Saccharomyces cerevisiae S288C: one gene and its partner. The protein of the gene in region 1 purifies or fractionates together with the protein of each later gene. This does not show direct contact. Each region holds a gene or a part of one and is shown on either strand. Other genes may lie near its edges.

What was found.
Region 2: the proteins of HRP1 (region 1) and AEP1 purify together in Saccharomyces cerevisiae (affinity purification with mass spectrometry, with the first as the bait; 2 studies listed by BioGRID). This does not show direct contact.

What each region holds. Positions count from the first base shown.
Region 1 is NC_001147.6:85,969-89,902, forward strand, and holds HRP1 (Hrp1p), read left to right. Parts: upstream 1-1,875; coding exon 1,876-3,480; downstream 3,481-3,934. Other genes in the region: TRM11 (tRNA (guanine-N2-)-methyltransferase), read right to left, coding at 1-789; divalent metal ion transporter SMF1, read right to left, coding at 3,724-3,934. UniProt on the Saccharomyces cerevisiae protein: RNA-binding protein, which is involved in the polyadenylation-dependent pre-mRNA 3'-end formation and cooperates with the cleavage factor CFIA complex and the cleavage and polyadenylation factor (CPF) complex.
Region 2 is NC_001145.3:395,707-399,640, forward strand, and holds AEP1 (Aep1p), read left to right. Parts: upstream 1-2,196; coding exon 2,197-3,753; downstream 3,754-3,934. Other genes in the region: ARG7 (glutamate N-acetyltransferase), read right to left, coding at 1-673; RIM9 (Rim9p), read left to right, coding at 1,371-2,090. UniProt on the Saccharomyces cerevisiae protein: Required for translation of the mitochondrial OLI1 transcript encoding subunit 9 of mitochondrial ATP synthase.

The DNA of each region.
Region 1 (3,934 bases):
ACTCTCGCCATATTTTTTGAAGTTGGCCGAAATGTTCACTTGAGCACCCTTACCACGAATCATTCTGCCATCTATATCCGAACCAATCACTAAAGAACCAAAATGCCCACCAGCTACCAAAAAGGATCCTGTACCTGCAAACGGGTCGTACATTATAGTTCCCGGTTTCACTTGAGCTATATTGGCGCTGACCAACGATAATTCTGCTTCGAAGCTAGTTGTACCTTTATAAGGTCTTTTCTTCAAATCATATTTCTCCATGGCACTCCTATTGCTCATCTGAACCTGCCTACCAAAATAAATCCTGGTGGGGGTCTTACCACCAACGTTTTCCGATATTGGTGTGTACTCTTCTATAACAGTGAAAACCTCTTGAGGATGTTTCATATCAATCTTTCCTTCAAAGCCAAGGTAACGGAAAGTTTCAATCTGCTCTACCCTCTTAGCTTTACTGTTGCCTTTATAGCATTCGAATTCGAACTTAAAAGTGGAATGTTTGAATTTCAATTGCAGATCCTGTTCAAAGTTAGACTGACGCTGAATATCTTTATGCAGCTCATCGAGCGTTGTACCCTGCCCCCAATACTCATAAATACCTCTGGTTAAAATAGACCTCTTAATCCAATCCTTTGCTTGCTGATCATTTTCCAGCTCTACAATAAAGAAAGGGCTATTGGCATCGTACTGCGAAAAGTCTATGGAAAGATTATATAGGTCTGCTAACGATTCCAGTTCTGCTCTTCTAAAGTTCAAATGAACTTGTACCATATACAGCAGATATTTCTTCATGCTGCCGTTTTTACCTTATATACAATGTGTTTAGTTATGCTATTTCATCTCCATATTACGGGTATTAAGACCTCGATGCCCATAATCATCGATTTTTTTCACTTTTCCCACAACGTAAACATTTCTTTTTTCTTCGGAAAAGAATCCAAAATACGGGTAATAAAAGTCTCTTAAAGTACTAATAGCTATAGATAACATTATGGAGGCTATTGATATACAAAATACTAAGAAATATAGGTTGCTGCAAGGAAGAAGATCAAAAACCCTCTAAATTTCGCTTTATCTATCCATCAAAAGTCCGGAGGGTCATGCTATCGAAAACCTATTGACTATAAATATCAATTTTTTTATCTCTTCGATTTGTTCTTGAAGATCTTGCGCAGAAGTTGAAAAACAAAGAGTAAATCCTAATGTAGATGCGTGGAAAAAGAAACATGCTCTTAAGGATCCCAACTTCTTTCTCTTCTAAACATCTATAACCTTGGAAGATCTTGCGAAATACTGGGCGGCTAAATCGAATGCATTTTTAATCTTACCCGGAAATACTTTCTTTTTTTTATTTATTTTTTTTCTTGCAGCCCCTCCCTACGAGCAGCGCCGAGATTTCTTGTTGGACAAAGCAAAAAAAGTATAAAAGGCGCATGCTTTCCACACGCCCAGGCGCTCTTAAATTTTCTTCCGCTCTCTCCTTTCCGCCACTGTAATTAAAAACAAAGGATTGAACAGTTTCGACTAGTTATTTAATTTTGCAGATAGTCAAGTATTAGTACAATATACTGTTATAAATTTTTTACGTGTATCTTTTACTTTTTAGTGTTTAATAACTAAAATCTCATACCTTACTAGATTTCTTTCTAACCTTTTTTGCGAAAGAAACAAAAAGAAAAAATACGGACAGAAAAGGTATACTCAATAAACAAGAAATTGAAAAAGCGTGCATAATACAAACAATTGGCCCTTTTTTATTCTGTATTAATATTACTGTTTATATTACAATCTTTTCATAAAAGACGCAAATATTTTATTTATAAAGAACTTTAGCAGTATACACAAGTCTGAGAAAATAGAGAATAAGTTAAATAAGCAATGAGCTCTGACGAAGAAGATTTCAACGACATCTACGGCGATGATAAGCCTACCACTACTGAAGAAGTCAAAAAAGAAGAAGAACAAAATAAGGCTGGCAGTGGTACCTCGCAATTAGATCAACTAGCCGCACTACAAGCATTATCTTCTAGCTTGAACAAACTAAATAATCCAAATAGTAACAACAGTAGTAGTAATAATAGTAACCAAGACACATCTTCTAGTAAGCAAGATGGCACTGCGAATGACAAGGAAGGTTCCAATGAAGACACTAAGAATGAAAAAAAACAAGAAAGCGCTACATCAGCAAATGCCAATGCCAACGCTAGTTCTGCAGGACCTTCTGGCTTACCTTGGGAACAACTTCAACAAACCATGTCACAATTCCAGCAACCATCTTCTCAATCACCACCTCAACAGCAAGTAACTCAAACCAAAGAGGAACGTTCGAAAGCGGATTTGTCTAAAGAAAGTTGCAAGATGTTCATTGGTGGTCTGAATTGGGACACTACGGAAGATAATCTTCGCGAATATTTTGGTAAGTATGGTACCGTCACTGATTTGAAAATCATGAAAGACCCTGCAACAGGTAGATCTAGAGGGTTCGGTTTCTTATCTTTTGAAAAACCTTCTAGTGTTGATGAAGTGGTAAAGACACAACATATCCTCGATGGTAAAGTTATCGACCCAAAAAGAGCTATCCCAAGAGACGAGCAAGATAAAACCGGTAAAATCTTTGTTGGTGGTATTGGTCCTGATGTGAGACCAAAGGAATTTGAAGAATTTTTTTCTCAGTGGGGTACGATTATCGATGCGCAACTGATGTTAGATAAGGATACCGGTCAATCAAGAGGTTTTGGTTTTGTGACGTATGACTCCGCTGACGCCGTTGACAGAGTTTGTCAGAATAAATTCATCGATTTCAAAGATCGCAAGATCGAAATCAAGAGAGCTGAGCCAAGACATATGCAACAAAAATCATCAAACAATGGTGGTAACAATGGTGGAAACAACATGAATCGTCGTGGCGGTAACTTCGGTAACCAAGGCGATTTCAACCAAATGTATCAAAACCCTATGATGGGCGGTTACAACCCAATGATGAATCCGCAAGCAATGACAGATTACTATCAAAAGATGCAAGAATATTACCAACAAATGCAAAAGCAAACTGGTATGGATTATACTCAAATGTACCAACAACAAATGCAGCAAATGGCAATGATGATGCCAGGGTTTGCCATGCCACCTAATGCAATGACTTTAAACCAACCACAGCAAGATTCAAATGCCACTCAAGGTTCCCCAGCACCTTCTGATTCCGATAATAATAAATCCAATGACGTCCAAACTATTGGTAATACATCAAACACTGACTCTGGTTCACCGCCATTGAATTTACCTAATGGTCCAAAGGGCCCATCACAATACAATGATGACCACAATAGCGGTTATGGCTACAACCGTGATCGCGGTGATCGTGATCGTAACGATCGTGACCGCGATTACAATCACCGTAGTGGTGGAAACCATAGAAGAAACGGCCGTGGTGGTCGCGGTGGATACAATAGACGTAATAATGGCTACCATCCATATAATAGGTAAAAAAAAAGAAAAGTGTAGAAAACTAGAGAAAAGTTTTCTTGTATAATTCAACAACCCTTCTATTAAATAAGCATAAGCAATTTATAATATATATATACATGTACGTGTATTAGTTTCGAATAGTTATTATTTTTTTTTCACTATGCTAGAATGTATAATCACAAGCTCTACTTGAAGTACAGCTGTCATAAAGCTTACAAATAATCTTAATGTTATTGTGCGCAAGAATGTAAGAGGCAGACATTAACTGATATCACCATGAGACATGCCTAATTGAACAATGGCATAAACGTTCAGTAAAGATAAGAAAAGCCACACAATTATAGCAATAACAGTGATAATCCAATTGTTTGCCATATAAACGATTTTGACATCTTTTCCATTTTCTATCTCCATGCCACTAGAACCATCTTGCTCGATTACGCTACCTGCAGATCTATCGTTGTTATTTTGA
Region 2 (3,934 bases), on another chromosome or scaffold:
GAAGATCTGTAACTATGAAACCTAATAAGGTAGCCATATTCGGACAAATCATACCCGCGCCCTTTGCCATACCTGTCAAAGTATACTCAGTACCACTAGGTAATTTGAATCTAGATGTAACTAATTTTGGGAAAGTATCAGTAGTACAGATTGATTTGGCTACGTTCAACCAAGAGTTAAAATCACTGCCGAACTTTTCTTCTCCAAAAATTTTATTGATACCAGTGCTGATCTTGTCCATCTGTAGTCGTTGTCCAATAACGCCTGTAGACATGACTAGGGTAGAATTTTTTTGACCAATTTTATCGTTAACCAAATCAATCATTACTTGGGCATCTTTCATACCAAGATCACCTGTGACCGAGTTAGCACAACCGGAATTGACTACAATAGCGTTGATGTTTTTACCACGAGCAGTTTCAAGGACTTTTTTCGATGTCAAAACTGGCGCAGCTTTGAATTTATTGGTCGTGAAAACAGCTGCTGCGGTTGAAGGACGAGATTTATTGGTATTCAAGATTACACCCAGGTCCAGGCTCCCGTTTTTTTTGACTCCAGATGCAGTGTAGCCTACTTCAAATCCTTTAGGAAAAGAGCCCGTCTTGGGCACGTATAATGCATACTTATCTATAAGCTGCTTCGAGCGTTGAAGCAATGTTGATGATATTCTCATGCTATGTTGAATTTTGGACTTCTTTAAATAAAGGGAATAGAAGTATTGCTGATACTAGCCCAAAAATCGTCACCTTTGTGCGGCGAGCCGAGGATGAGGCTTTTATATACTCGACGACTAAAGAAGTTGGCAACGAATTACGCAGTGAGTCATCCTACCTGTCCATCGCAGTAGAAAAAGACCTTCGCCAAGAAAACACCGTCAATAATGATTGCTAAGCACTCTCACTTAGTACTACTATCAACGCTACCTTCAATTTGGGTCTAACCACGGCCCTATTGCATCACTACTCTCTTTATTCTATGATACAGCGTGGGGGTGAAGCCAAGAGCCCTGTGTTTTACTTCAGCATACCAACAAAGTATAAGATTACTTTTGCTATACAGCGATGAAAAATGTATTTTAATGTTTGTAAATTTATGATCTACTGACACGTCTCAGACAGATCACATTTACAACACAGCATGCTATGACTATATACAAAACATGACTTTTCTTTATCACTAAAAGTAACTGCCAATTTATTGTCGAATCTCGCTATAGTTTGATTTTCACCAGCGGCGCGCGCAAGTATAAGCTAAGAAACAATGAATATAGATAGATAGTGATGAGCGTTGAGAACCGGGAAATGAGTAGAGACGTCCTTCTAAACAAAGATTTATACGGTTGAGACAGATTCATTGAGGAAAAGAGGAGAATGGTTAGCATGATCCATATTGTGGTGTTTTTGCTAGCAATCACAACCATGTTCGAAATACTTCCGCTAATAACCGTCCCCGTGACCAAGTACCTATCGTTATCGTCATTCAGAAACCACTATTATGGCCTGTTTGGCTGGTGTGTACGTGGTCAAAACCAAGAATTGATGTGCACGAAAATGAAGATAGGATATGACAGTACAGATGTCGACTCCTCCGGGCACGTTTTGACCCTGCCATCGAACTCAAAAGTGGTCGTCTCCAATTTATTAGTGGTTCACCCGATTTCACTGGCATTCACAGGAACGCTATTAATTTTAGCAGTGATTATCATGGTAACTCCACTAGGGGACTCACCTGAGATGTTATTGTTCACGGCCCTTTTTTCGCTGCCAACGTTCATGCTATGTCTTTTATGTTTTTTGGTAGATATTCTTCTGTTCATCTCCAAACTGGACTGGCCCGGCTGGCTAATGCTAGCCGCTACTATTAGCGTAGCACTTTGTTGTTCCATGCTGTGGGTCATGAGAAGAGTTGTGTCAGTCAAAAAATATGAATCGCAACAGTCAATTGCGCATGCGTGCTCAATGGAACAGTACTCAATTTCCGACATTTACCAGAGTAAACAGAACGGCAATAGCTCAGAATATGAAGTGGCTCCAACACATACAGATAGTCTGATTGCTCCAGAAGTGACATATAGAGGGTTCATTGAATAAGTAACATCATGTGTCATTTTGCACGTTACATCGGTTTGCCAATCGGCTTCCAAATATTTGTACATTTTTTTCTTCCTCCATCACTATCTGTTAAGGGTCTTAGAAAATGATTACTACAGTGCAAGAAATCAGCAAATGGAGAAACCTGTGCTTCATTAGGATGCAATCTCGCAAATGGTACCCAGTACTTAAAAAGACTCCTTTAGTAGCGGACGGTCGAAAGATCATTAAACATGCCGATAAAGTTCCTCATCCGGAAGAAATAATTCACCCATTTTACCAACCAACAGCAATAGAACAATTCACGGCATGCGCTACGGAATACAATCCTAGCCTGCTTGATGGCAAAAAAATTGCTCCATCACTGATAAAACACCCGGTGAGCCTAAAAACCATACTAGTTGATAGCAAATTAAAGTTTGATGATATTAGGGGAGTGAATAAATGGTTGATGGAATTCGTTGCAAGACGACAACATCAAAGAAATATTGTACTTACACCTGCGAGCAAAAGCGTTAGATCTTTTCACGTTCTGCATTTGTCTTCAACCGATATTGCCAAATTAAGAGGTCTTGAAAATATATTATCAGAGATTGAAAACACGAATGATTTGCAATCCAGGGTCGAGTCCGTAAATAATGAACTACAGAATATTTTTGACCGCGACAGTAAACAGACAAGATTATTTTGCGAGAATATACTGGCTTATTTGATAAAGAATTATGGAAACTCGACTGAAAAACTTATACTACTAATAAATGTTACTGAGATGCAATTATATTCACGTTTAGACCAAATGAAGGCCATGAACATTATTTTATATAATATCCTTTGTAAAGTGGAAGCAAATGAAAACCCACCGTACAGTCCCACATTGGTTACCGCACTAGAAAACCTATTGGCAGCGATCAACAACAGATTTTTTCCAGGGCGTTGCGAAAATTCATTGCACCCAATAGTAATTGAACAACTATTATCATATTTCATTAAAACCGGCAATTTGAATGAAAGCAAAAATTTTTTGGGCCATTTAATAAAAAAGGGTATTTTACCAGAGGCTACTATCATTAATAGATATTTGGAGGCAATTGATGTTCATTTCGATAAAAGCACTAAGATTTTTGATATAAGATCCAAATTTGCATTCATAGCAGATCTTGCACCCATAATAGAAAATTATGGAACAATAGACCTGTTCAAATTTTTGATACCTATGTGCCGGCATTTCGACGAATTGTGTTCTCTGCTAAATATTATTCGAAAATCCAATAACGCAAAACGGGCTGTGGATAGCACCTTACCTATTTTTATCAAAAAAGTATTAACATTTACTAAAGATCCAATGATCAACTCCGGAAATCTATCCACTGTTTTCAATATAGTGAGCCCAATATATGGACAAAACGTGCCCAGCGAATTCGTGGAGAAATTTATACTGTCTTTTGCACTTCAAGGAAATTACACTATGATGGCTCATATGATAGATACATATAAGATCAAACTAAGTCATAAATACCAACTACAAATTATTAGGGCTCTCAAAAATAGTGAGAGAAATCACGCGCTTAAGAATACGGGCGCTGTAGGTTATAATAAGGAATTTAAAAAGTACTTCATCGAGAAATATTTGAATTGCACTGAACGAGAAGCTTTACGCCCATAAATCGTCTATATTAAAAAAAAGGCAGCATAAGAGCAACTCACTGCAAAGGGAATTGCGCATTCCACGCAAATAAACAATGTAAATAAGAATACGTACTGTAACTGTGTCACACTAGCGGGTTGTTTTATCATAATTGTTTGGGATTAATCCTGAACAAATTTTCTATATATAAACACTGGTT